Linked DNA regions of Coturnix japonica. Each later gene encodes a partner of the first gene's protein in a complex. Links are inferred from orthologs where the notes say so. Each region holds a gene or a part of one and is shown on either strand. Other genes may lie near its edges.

What was found. The genes of interacting proteins can lie anywhere in the genome.
Region 2: TAF3 (region 1) and TAF12 share a complex: the UniProt entries of both Homo sapiens proteins name them as parts of the TFIID basal transcription factor complex. The link is inferred for Coturnix japonica from reciprocal best matches to the Homo sapiens genes TAF3 and TAF12.
Region 3: TAF3 (region 1) and transcription initiation factor TFIID subunit 4-like share a complex: the UniProt entries of both Homo sapiens proteins name them as parts of the TFIID basal transcription factor complex. The link is inferred for Coturnix japonica from reciprocal best matches to the Homo sapiens genes TAF3 and TAF4.

The regions. Positions count from the first base shown.
Region 1 is NC_029516.1:3,778,019-3,781,617, reverse strand, and holds part of TAF3 (transcription initiation factor TFIID subunit 3), read right to left. Parts: intron 3,006-3,599; coding exon 1,183-3,005; intron 1-1,182. UniProt on the Homo sapiens protein: The TFIID basal transcription factor complex plays a major role in the initiation of RNA polymerase II (Pol II)-dependent transcription.
Region 2 is NC_029538.1:2,029,245-2,033,340, reverse strand, and holds the start of TAF12 (transcription initiation factor TFIID subunit 12), read right to left. Parts: upstream 2,897-4,096; 5' UTR 2,821-2,896; intron 1,850-2,820; 5' UTR 1,778-1,849; coding exon 1,709-1,777; intron 1,220-1,708; exon of another isoform or gene 1,110-1,219; intron 459-1,109; coding exon 207-458; intron 1-206. Other genes in the region: discoidin, CUB and LCCL domain-containing protein 1-like, read right to left, coding at 3,587-4,053. UniProt on the Homo sapiens protein: The TFIID basal transcription factor complex plays a major role in the initiation of RNA polymerase II (Pol II)-dependent transcription.
Region 3 is NC_029526.1:9,443,430-9,447,663, reverse strand, and holds the start of transcription initiation factor TFIID subunit 4-like, read left to right. Parts: upstream 1-1,338; 5' UTR 1,339-1,383; coding exon 1,384-2,434; intron 2,435-4,234. UniProt on the Homo sapiens protein: The TFIID basal transcription factor complex plays a major role in the initiation of RNA polymerase II (Pol II)-dependent transcription.

The DNA of each region.
Region 1 (3,599 bases):
ATCCCTCACAGCATCGAAAATGGATAGCGAGGAATATCCCAAGTCTGAGCTTGTACAAAGTGAGTATTATACTCAAAGCAGAACGTAAAGAATATCTCTGTAAAACCAGAATGTAAGCGGTGCTTCCTAATGCTAAGGATAGAGATTTAAGAAATCCTGCATCCAAGGTTATCAGTATCCAAGACAATCTCTTTCTTTTCTGCTCTTTTTTTTTCTTTTAGTATTAACAACTGAATGCACAATATAAGTTTAAGTGACAAAAAGTACAGCAAACCTTGAATTAGGGAAGTCATTTCTAATGGGATTTAAAATCAGATAACATGCAAATATGCTGGTTTCATTTTTTATATATTAAAGATATTCTCAAGATTAGGTGATATTGGAAAGAAGGAACTGTCCGTGGCTGATATAAACCAGTAAGAGCTACAGGAGAAGAAGCAGCTCAGTCCATTTGAAAGCCAGGTCTCCTCCATCTCAAGCTTAAAAATCAAAACAAAAGGTGATATTTGAATATTCAGAATATGCATTTAGACTACAGGTTGAAAACAATTTTCTTACTTCTGTCTAACTGGAGCATGAAGGCTGAGGTCTTCCTAATAGAGGATTTGGTAGCTCTACTGGTACACAAATGATGACTTATTCTAGGGTGGTCTGCTCCTCATTTATGGCCATCCAGTAACCTACAGACTTCTACAGGCTTTGAAACAGTAAACTTCTAGAAACTGTATTTGAATTTTATATGAAAGGCTGTTGGCCTCACTAGAGGAAATCCACAGAACAAAATTTGGGCATTGCAACAGAGCATACATTTGTTCTGCATTTTGCCACTGAGTGTAAGTCTTGGCTTTCCAAAGCGAAAAGTGAGTTGAGGAAAACCAGAAATCTCACGTAAAACCAAACCAACCCAATTCAAACCAAAATCAAGGCAAGATCTCATATTCCAAACTCACAAAATTGAGCTTCTATTCTTTTGCCTCCCAAAGAAGTAGGGTAATACCTGAAATTTCTGGGGTGCTTCTTACATTGAAGCAACAAACAACACTGGTTGTTTGTTTGTTTTAAAGTGTATGAAGTCTGTGGTCACATATCTTCTGTATCACATATGCTTCTCAGCAGCAAATTCAGGAATCCATGTGCACTTGTCAAACAATGATGCCATCTCAGCTCTTTTAAACAACTCACCTTTTCATGTTTATGTTTCTCTTTTTCTTTCTCCTTCCTCTCTCTTTCCTTCCTCTCCTTTTCCTTATCCTTCTTTTCCTTTTCTTTGTCTTTCTCCCTTTCTTTCTTTTTCTTCTTCTCTTTTTTGTCCTTCTTCTTCTCTTTTGGTTTTTCTTTGTCCTCAAACAACTTTTCAGGAAGCATAGGAGACAAGGAAGGTAACATGCTGGGAAGCCTCATGGCAGTTGGTGTGCTGAACAAGGGCAAAGACATTTCTTTGGGAGGTAACACAAGAGGTGCTGATGGGGGCTTTATCTTATCTTCCTTACTCTTATCTTTAACTTTCTCTTTGTCTTTCTTATCCTTGTCTTTTTTACCTTTCTCCTTCTCTTTCTTCTTATCTTTATGTTTTTCTTTCTCTTTTTTGGTATTGCCATCTTTCAACTTTACTTTTGTGTCAGCATCCTCAAAGTCTTTTAGTTTGAATTTATAGGGATCATGTTCATCATCTTTGAGAAGTTCCTTCCACTGAAACTTCGCCTCCTTGTTTCCTTCCTTGTCTTTATCCTTCTCTTTGTTTTTTTCCTTCTCTTTGTTTTTCTCCTTGTTTTTCTCTTTATCTTTTTCCTTCTGTTTCTCTTTCTTCTTCATTTTTGTCTTCAGCTCTTTCTTCAGTTTCTTTTTCACTTCTACAGAGGAAGCCAACTTGGTTTTCTCCTCATAGACTTTGAGAAGAGGTTCTGGAGTTGGCGGTGAAGCAGAAGGAGAAGAGAAGTAAGTGAAGTTTGCAGGTGGATTAGAAGGTGTCCCCATGTTTGCCTTTCGAATGACTTCATCAATTGAGTCATCCATTGTCCATGAAATGTCTGAACTCGAAGTCCCACCTGATGGAGGTATCGGAGTTGCTCCTGCCTTATTAGAACAATTAGCAGAAACAGAAGGTTTAGGAGTTGGAGTTGTAGTCTCTGAAACAGAAAGTCTTTTTGGACTGGTAAAAATTTCCCCTTCTGACTCAGAACCAGAGGAAAACTCAAAGGGATCGGGTTCTCGCTCAGCACACGCACGAGCAATCACAGCATCTATTGAATCATCAATAGTCTTGTCCATCACCGGTAATTTCTTAGTCTGGTTTTCAATATTTGGCTTGGTCACAGGCTCAGGTGGTGTCTGTCCTTGTTTTACTTGAATGTTTTCCTTTCCTATTTTGTCACTTAATGCAGCCAGAGGGGTTCTGCTTGGTGTTTCAGGTTTAACAGGTGGCGGGGGGACATGAACGGGAGCCTTTGGACTTTTGGGACTTTTGGGGCTCTTGGCGCGACCTGGTGACTTTTTTTCTTTGGATCCAGTTTTTGGTGAACGTATGGGACTTCCAGCAACCACTGGTGAGGGGGTAGTTTTAGGTGATTTTGTCTTTTGTCCTGGAGAACTTGATTTGGACTTTGTTTTGGGTGCAAGTGGCTTTGACTCTAATGTCTTGGGGGCTGGCACTTGTGGTTTTGCAATGGGAGCCAACATTGGTGGTTCTGGTGAAGGAGGGGCTAAGTCTGAACTGTCCTGAACATGAACTGGAGAAAGCATCGGAGGTACTTTTTGAGTATTTATTGAGCTAAGAGGCTCACGTGGTTCCAAAGCTCCATCCAGAGCGTCTCCTTTAGAAACAGACAGTTTTGGTCGTTTCATGGGTGGAAATTCTTCAGCATCAGGACTTTCTAATGTTCTCTTGCTCAAGTAATTTTCATCATTAATTGCCTCGTCCTCTTCCATATCTCCTTCTTCTTCCAGTGGCACCTGCATGGCCTCTGCAGATGTACCTCCATCTGTTGGTACTTGTTCCTCTTCCTCTTCTGTAACAAAGAGCATTTTAAATAAGCATTAGGGATAATTCAAAATGTGTTTTACAGAAACAAAAAAGTATCAAAAGTTCACATGCATTTTAGCTCTCATATGTTACCTCCTACATTAACTGTCCTTAAAACCACTTCATGCCAGTCTACTTGAAAGAAAAGTGAGGAGCTTCTTCTGGATCATAGCATCCACTATGTGTACATGTAAGTAAAATCCACTGGAATTAGCGGTCTTGTTTAAATATCGTAGAATTTTGATGGCGAATTAACTACTAGGAAGATGTCTTCCTAAACTGGATTTGTTTTTCTTGAAGTGGCTCAGCTAGAAGCCATGGACTGAATTTTGTTCAACCTGCTAGGTTCTGTTTCTGATTCACCTTAAGAGCTTGCTGTATGGTACACTAACTGTTACGATTACATGGGAGCACCCCTGTGTCAGCATGTATGTGTGCTGGTTTGGATCAGGAGCACAACTTTGAAATTCATCGCCCCATCACCCTGCTGTTTTTTTGCATCATTGAGCAATTCTGGAGAACATAAGCTGGATTCCTTCTTTACTGAAAGCGAAATGAAAGATACGCTGCCAAAAGAATA
Region 2 (4,096 bases), on another chromosome or scaffold:
GGACACAAAGGAAGCATTCCCATTGCTCTAAAGCTCATCACCTTTAGCATTTCAAATGGCAAACGGCCACACGTGAGTGCTGGATTACTGCAGGGCAGAAGGCAGCATCCTATCAGCCCAAATATGTGAATAGATCAGGAATTCCAGCACTGCTGGGCAGCAGGGAGAGCTGTGAGCATCCCCCCTGCAGCTGGGGATGAATTTACCTGGTTGCTTTCAGGACTGAGCCGCCCTCCTCCGCTGGGTGTACCCGGCATCTTTGCCACGGCGGTGCTGTTTGCCATGGAGCTTTGAGGGGGAGTGCTGGCAGGTTCAGGCTTTATGGAGGAGAAGTTGGAGAGGTTGATCAAGGTAGATGGGCCAAACTGGTTCATAATCTGTTGGGCTTTAGCTTTTAGATCATAAAGCTTGTCGAGGTCCTGCTTCTTCTTGGGGTTGTGGGGACCCAAACCGATCAACTGGAGAGAGGGAGACAGACAGTCAGCAAACAGAGCAGGAATCTAAAGGGGGATCCAAAGTACTGACAGGACCCAGAGTTCATAGATGGGTCTCTGGACCTGAACGTTTAGAAGACATTCCCTGGTATATGGGCAATGAAGTCTTCCCTGAGAAGCACAGCAGCTGCATGCAGCACCCTGACATCAGCGGCTCCTCACCCTGCTGGATCCTGCATGTGTTCAGCCTCACAGCAGGGCCTGCCTGAACCACCTCACACGTACTGCAGGAGGCTTCGAGGGTGAGACCAGAGCTGAGATTTAACCTAAGGACACAGCCCAGCCCGCAATGCACAGCAGGCTCGAGCCCTGTCTGTGCTCAGTCCACAAACCCAGGAGGCAGAAGCCTAAACCAGAAGACAACCATGCTTGGGCTCCCCTCACTGCGGGTCTCAGTTTTTGCAGCAATCCCCCTCCTGAAATCCAGAGCCATCTTCACAACACAGAGCTCAGCTCCAGCTCTAAGGAACAGCGACAAGAGAGGAAACACAGACGTGGCTTCGCATGGAGGGACACCAAAAGCCACAGTGAGGAAACCTAACAGGGGAGGTTGTGGCAGCACAACGTGCAGCTCAGCCCTCCTGGGGTCACCACCACGTGCCTGTGGTTACTCACATTGTCGGCTGCATGGACGGAGCAGAGCTGCTGTGTGCAATGCACTCACAGTGATGAGCAGAGCGTCTCCTGTCTCAGCTACAAACACGTTTTCCCTTCAGCAGAGCAAGCTGTTAGTTCGGATTAATCCATACAGAAAACAAAACCAGAGATCAGGCTCAGCCAGCGGCTGTTTTAGTGCTTCACAAACACAAACCCATGCGGAGCTCTCCTACAAGAGACTTTACATTGAGCCCAATGGCACAAGGCCCTTATGCTCAAACCTCAGCATCCTCAGCGCTGTTTCATTGCACACCTGGGTTTGCACAGGGGCTGCCTGCAGGCTGTTTGCTCCCATGCTTTATATCCACATCCACCAAGCAGGAATCCTCACCATCCATGCAGGGAAGGAGCCAACACCTGTTACATGGCTTTACAAAACCATGACAGCAATGATTTGAAACCCTGGGCAGGATGCACTTCGTTGGTATAAAGCCACTTTGCACATCATTCTCCTGATCTTATGGCACCTTTTGGGTGCTGTTAAGATCACTGAAGGCAAAACACCCACGGTGAGGCCCTGCATGCCAACTCAAGGCAACCTCACTCCGTTTACTTACAGCTATCTGCGTGTCTAGATCTTTAATTACATCAGCCACTGCTGTGGGCCCAGCGAACGGGGAGGCCATTTCCCAAAGCCTTCCTTGGGGTCAGCAGCTTAAACTACTGTGTTCCACATCACTCCCAGTCCTACAGGACTCCTACAGGAACACCAGATATTGGCACCCAGCCCCAATTAACAGGGAACACTTTGGCCATTCCCAATTAACAGGAAGCACTTTGGATCCATGAGCTCCTGTTGGATGTGCTGCTCATCCATCCCAATTCTCCCTCTCAATTTGAAGCCGTTCCCCTTTAACCTGTCATTCCCATGTCAAATCTCCCTCCCACTCCCCTTTATCCTGTTGTTATCATGTCAGATCTCCTTCCCATTCCCCTTTATCCTGTTGTTATCAACTCAGATCTCCCTCCCATTCCCCTTTATCCTGTTGTTATCATGTCAGATCTCCCTCCTACTCCCCTTTATCCCATTGTTATCACATCAGATCTCCCTCTCATTCCCCTTTATCCCGTTGTTATCATGTCAGATCTCCTTCCCGTTCCCCCTTATCCTGTTGTTATCATGTCATATCTCCCTCCCATTCCCCTTTATCCCATCGTTATCAGCTCAGATCTCCCTCCAGTTCCCCTTTATCCTGTCGTTATCATGTCAGATCTCCTTCCCATTCCCCTTTATCCTGTTATCACATCAGATCTTCCTCCCATTCCCCTTTATCCCGTTGTTATCAGCTCAGATCTCCCTCCCTTTCTCTCCTATCAGCCCACATCCCCCTCCAATCACTCTCAATCAGCTCCCATGGATCTCAATGCTGCACACCCCACACGGACACCCAGCGGCTCACCCCCAGCCCTTTGATACACGGCTCATATCGCCCTATACAGCCCGTATTACAATCCCTACGGGCCGCCCCGTGCTCTCCTTACATCGGGAGGCCTCAATCAGCACCAAGACCCGGCAAATCACCGGGAGGACAACGCAGCCCCTCGTAGCCGACCTCAGCCCCACCGGTACCGGCTGTACGGCCCCATATAACCCCATATAACCCCATATCGCCCCATATAACCCCATATAACCCCATATAACCCCATATAACCCCATACAGCCCCGTACCTCCCCATGCCCCGCGGGCGGACCGAGGCCCAGCCGCCGGAAGTACTATCGGCGCCGTGGGACGCACTGCGCGTGCGCAATGTTGGGTCTGTAGGAGGCGGGGATTGAGAGCAACCCAGCATGCACCGCGTGATTTGCATAATGCTCCCAGAGCAACGGGGCGGGCGGGAAAACGAGATTTTTGAGTGAAAAAAGATGTGAAAACAGCCAAAAGCGCAGCGATATGAAGGGGGAAAGGTGGGGGATGAGGTATTTCACATCATCTTCGCTCGCCCGGAGCTCGAGGGGATTGCGCTGCTCGTAATATGCCGCATCGGGATAGCGGAGCTTTAAAAAGGGCTTCTGCCGTGCGTGGCACGGGGGGGCTGCGGCCGCCCCCGCGGAATCGACATCAAGAGATTTCGGAAGCACAATTTTTGTGGGGGGGGTCGCCGGTAACCGACTGTTCCGGCGCCCCGGGCGGTGTGTGAACGGCAGCGATAAGAGTAGGGGTCCCTATAGTGGGTGTCTATAGGGGGGCTGAGACTGTAGTGGACCCCCCCCCCCCATAGGGCTGTATGTGATGGGGTTGGGGCTGTATGGAACCAGGCACCATCTGTACCCAGAGCTTCTACCCACCTGTGTGTCCACACAGCTGATGGAGGATCGCTCTGTATCCATGTATGTATATATAGATATGGATATATTTAAATATTAGTGCACATTTCCTTATAAAACCCCTCTGTGCCCCCCCACACAACGAAGGCCTCCAGCTGTATGTGCAGCCTCACCAGGCCTCGTGGTACACGTGTGAGCAGGGACAGTCTGTGGGCTCATCTGAGCCGGGTCCATCCGCACCGACCTCCTCACCCCCATTGGGGCCAGCAGTCCGCTCTGCACCGGGTGGGGCTGAGCCCAGCACAGGGGGCTGCAGAGGGGGGGCAACGTACCGTGATGGGGGGGAGGATGGAGAGCCGGCACGGCTGGGGTCGGTGCGGGTCCATTTGGGGTCGGTGCGGGTCCATTTGGGGTCGCTGTGGGTCCATCGGGTGCCGCTGGGTTCGGGCTCACCGAATGGTGTGGCGTATTCGGGTTCTGGAGGAAGAGGCTCCGCGTATTCGTGGTGTTTACCTGGCACGTCGTAATGGCTGACGACCAGTGGTAAGGTATAGCCTTCATCTGGGGGGGGTTTGAAGGTGGACGAGCCCAACTGGCTGCTGGGGCTCAGCTGCACCACGTCTGGCTCAGCATAGTCTGCAATGGGGTAACACAGCTCTGAGATGGGGCTGGCCATGCT
Region 3 (4,234 bases), on another chromosome or scaffold:
AATGCGTTTTAGATGTGGTTTATTTTCATTTATCATCAACCTGTTCCTAAAAGCATGAATAGAACCTGGAAAGAAACTCCCCTGAACAAAAATGTGTCACCTGGATGGTAACAAGTGATGGGCAGCTCAGCCTCGTGACTCCAGCCAGATCATACAGTGTGAATTGGAGTTTGAAAGTGGGTTACCAGCTGTGTGGATATAGTGAGACCGACACTCTTTCCTACGAGTTCACTTTGTGCTCAGGATGGTCATTCACTGCTCTGCATCTTTCAGTTTGGAGGAGAATCCTGAAAACATCGTAAAGTGAGTCATCATTTCAGGCCACCGCGTAGCAGACCAAAGGCATCCAGCTCTGCAGACATCCATGCTATGGTAGGTCAGCAGACAGCTGCAGGAATCCAAGCTGTTCTCTGCTGTCAGCTTGAAAAATACACGGTGGTTATCGCTTGTGTGCAAGAAAGGATGTAATGAATCGTGGAAAGCGATGTGGGTAAAATCACTTTCTCTGCAGGTCCCATCAAAGAAACTGCTCTGTCATTTGTCAAACAAATTACAGGTTGGGGCTACAGTTTTCCTCCTGGAAAGCAGTGATGGAAAAAGCGCGTATAGAAAAGCAATGACAAAATTGCTACAAGCAGAATGAACCGCCTCACATTTCCAGTGGGGATGGTGAGGGAACAGCATGAGGGCAGCCGCTGTGAGGATGCAGAGCTGTCTGGTGGTTTACAAGCCTCCCACTGACAGTGAAACGCAGGAGTTTAGGACACGAGAGCTTTAAGCAGACACGGCAGCCTGCCTGTATCGGGACTGACAGCTTCGGGAGCACGATGCTGCCTAGGAGAACAAGCCTGCGTTGTGCAGCGGAGCCTTCTGGCCGCCCGCCTGCAGCTCCCGCTCAGCACCGCCTGCTGCCTGGGGCTGTTCACATGAGAAACGACTTGAAGGCGAAGCACACGGTCCTGGCAGCTTTGCGAGCTCCAGGTATCTCGATCGCACGGCGCTTCATTTCGCAGCGTGCAAACACACAGCGCTCCGAGCCGGCTGGGCAGGCTGTACCAGGCGTCAGAAATCCCGCACCGCCGTAGCGCTGCTGCCCGACGCTCCCACGCAGGTCGGCAGGCCCTGCCCGCACTGCCGGCCGGGAGCAGCGGGACCCTGAGCATCTCAGCAACCGTGCCGAAAATCGAGCCCCAAAGCGCCCACACCGACACACCGACACACCGACACACACCGACACACCGACACACCGACACACCGACACACCGACACTCCGCCCGCCCCACGGCGAGGGGAGGAGGGACGCGGCCCCTCCCAGGGTGCCCCGCGCGCGACACAGGCCGGCGCGCCTGCGCGCTGCGCGGCCGGCTCCCACCTCAGCGCAAGATGGCGGCGGGCGCCTCGGACCCCCTGGAAGAGATGCTGCTCTTCTCCGAGGAGGTGGACGAGAAGGCGGTCAGCGACCTGGTGGGCTCCCTGGAATCGCAGCTGGCCGGCGGCCGGGGCTCGGCCGAGGCGCCCCAGCCCAGGACCTCCGCCCCGTCCCAGCAGCAGCCGCAGCAGCAGCGCCAGGGCAGCCTGGCGGGGGGCGGCAGCCCCGTCCGGCAGCAGCGGGGGCACCCCGCGCCCCCCCCCGCTACCGGGGCGGAGGAGGCTGCGGCGGGCCGTCCCGGAGCCGCGGAGAGCCGAGCCCCCGCCCCGGGGCCGCTCCCGTCCCCGTCCCCCCCGGCGGCAGCGGCGGCGGTAGCGGCGGCGGCGGCGGGGCGGGGAGTGAGTGTAAACAGTAGTAGTGTGCAGCAATCACATGGAGCGGCTCTGCTCGGCGGCAGCCCCGCCGCCCCGGCCCCGTCGCAGCCCGCCGCGCCCCCGCCCGCCCCGCCTGTCAACAACCATGTGGCCGCCGGCACCGGCTCCCGGGACGCGGGCAGCCCCAGTCCCGGCCGCAGCCCGCCCGCCGCGGAGCCGCAGCCGCGCAACGAGGCCGCGGAGGGGAGCGGGGCGGAGGGCGGCGGGCGGGCGGCGGCGACGGAGGGAGCCGACTCCGCCGATCCCGCTCCGCTCCCCGGCGAGGCGGCGCCCAACGGGGAGGGCGCCAGGGCTCGGGCGGCGGCGGTGCCGCCGGTCAGCGGTCGGCAGAGCCCGGCCGGCAGGGAAGGCGGCGCGGCGCAGCCCAAGCCCGCGCACGGCCCGCAGCCCGCAGTAAACGCACTCGGCAACTCCGCCAGCCCCGCGCCCGCCGCTACCCCGCCGGGACCGGGCTCGGCCGCCAAACCCGCGGGCGTCTCCAAGCCGGCCGCTGCCCTCCCAGCCGCTTCGCAGGCGCTGTCGCCGCGGCCCGCCCTGGGTGCCGCCCCGAGGCTGGTGGCCCCGCAGCTGATCGTCAGGCCGCCTCAGCAGACCACCATCCAGCTGCCGCCGGGCTTCACCATCCCGCCCGGTAAGTGGGGCGGGCGGGGCGGGCGCTCGGCTCTGCTCGGCCTTTCTCTGACGGAGGTTTTCAAAGTTCGCGTTTTCCCGCTGCTCGGCGTGTTGAGAGCTAAAGGACGAGCACCCGTCTGAGGGCGAGTTCTGGCCGACTGTCCGGCATGAGCGAGGTTGTAGTTGGCTTAGGGCACTTTGCTGTTGGTGCAGAGTAGTTGTGCCTCTTGTTTGGCGAGTACTTGTTTCCTCTCGTTGGGAGAATGGTGGTCACGGTAAGTTATTTTGTAACGGTGTAAAAACAGCTGTGCACCAGAACAATCTGGAGTGTGTTAACCAGGAATCACGTCTCTCTTGAAGCGTTCTGCAATCTCTTGATATGGAGAAAAGTTTTCGTTTTCAGTGAGCACCTTCTGATGGGCACCAGGTGACTGTATCCATACTACACAGTCTGATTTAATGTGAAGTTTGTCCTTTTGGGGTGCGTGACTGTGTTGCCCCTTACTGCGTACTCACAGCCTTGCCATCACTGGATTTTGTTTCCAACCACGAAGAATTCCCCATGTCCTGCTTGTTCTCCTTTTATTTTCTTGGTGTTGTTTTGTAAAGTTACAAGTTTAGCTGGTGAATCAAAGCAGCATCTCCCCATCCCGGTACCAGGTACCACTTTACCTGAACATTCCCAGGGTCTCAGTTTGTGCTTAGATTACAGTGTTGCAAAAAGTTGCTAAGTTTGTTACAGGTCCGGGAGATGAATTGGTATGTAAACTTTTTTTTCCCCTCTTTTTTCTATCGAGGTCAGCAGTGTGACACTACCTGGAGATGCTGATGTAACCTCAAATAATCAATTTCTTTTGCCATGTTTCTTTTAATAGCTGTTTTTTGTTAGCTAAGATAAATTTTTCTGTAGCTGTGTATTTAACTGTAGTTTATGGAACTCCAAATTCTGGTGTCCCAACTGGATAAAGCTCAGAGGTTTCCCGGAGTCGTGACTAACTCAAAGGGGTTAGTTTAAAAATGTCTGGCTATATTCCCACTATGTTGGTGGCTTTAGCGATTGATTTCACATTTTTAATATGCTTGATTAATACTAAATTCATGTGAGAAACTGTACCATGACTTTCTATACAGTTTCTGCGGCTTATTGCCTTTGTTCCACTATGTAGTTTTTAAACAGAAGGGGAAAACGGAGCCCTTGAAAGCAATCTTGTCAGAGGTTTAGAGGCAGTTCTGGAAACAATAGTGTGGAAAATGTTTCACTTGAATTTAATTTTATTACTAGATAGCTTGGAATCCATTAAATTGCATTAACGGGAGGATAGCATGTTCTAAGGATGAGAGTAATTCAGAAAATACACTGTTATTTTTGATTAATTACTCTTAAGTTTGTACATCATTATTAACTGATATTGAAACTCCTGTACTGTGATCTTCTGCCTAATGCAGAAGTTTAGAATGAGTTTATTTTAGCAAGTATTACTATATTAAGCATATAATAACCAGTTCTAGCACTTCATACTGGCTTATGAGTTGGATCTTTTCGTGGCTGACAATAAGGAAAAATTAATCTCCATGTTTAACTCAGTTCCGAGGATCTGATCACTTCCTACGTGCTGCAAAATAGTTTTCAAGTCCTTAAAGCTGGATTAAAATATAAAATTGCTGCACGAACATCTTTGTGTCTGTAGAAGCAGTTATATCTGCAACTTTTATTGAAACCATGTGGCTCCTGTTGCAATTAATTTGTACATTCTGTTCATTTATTAATTTTTTTAAAAATTCAGATTGAATTTTACAAGGTTGGAAAAGTAATTAACAA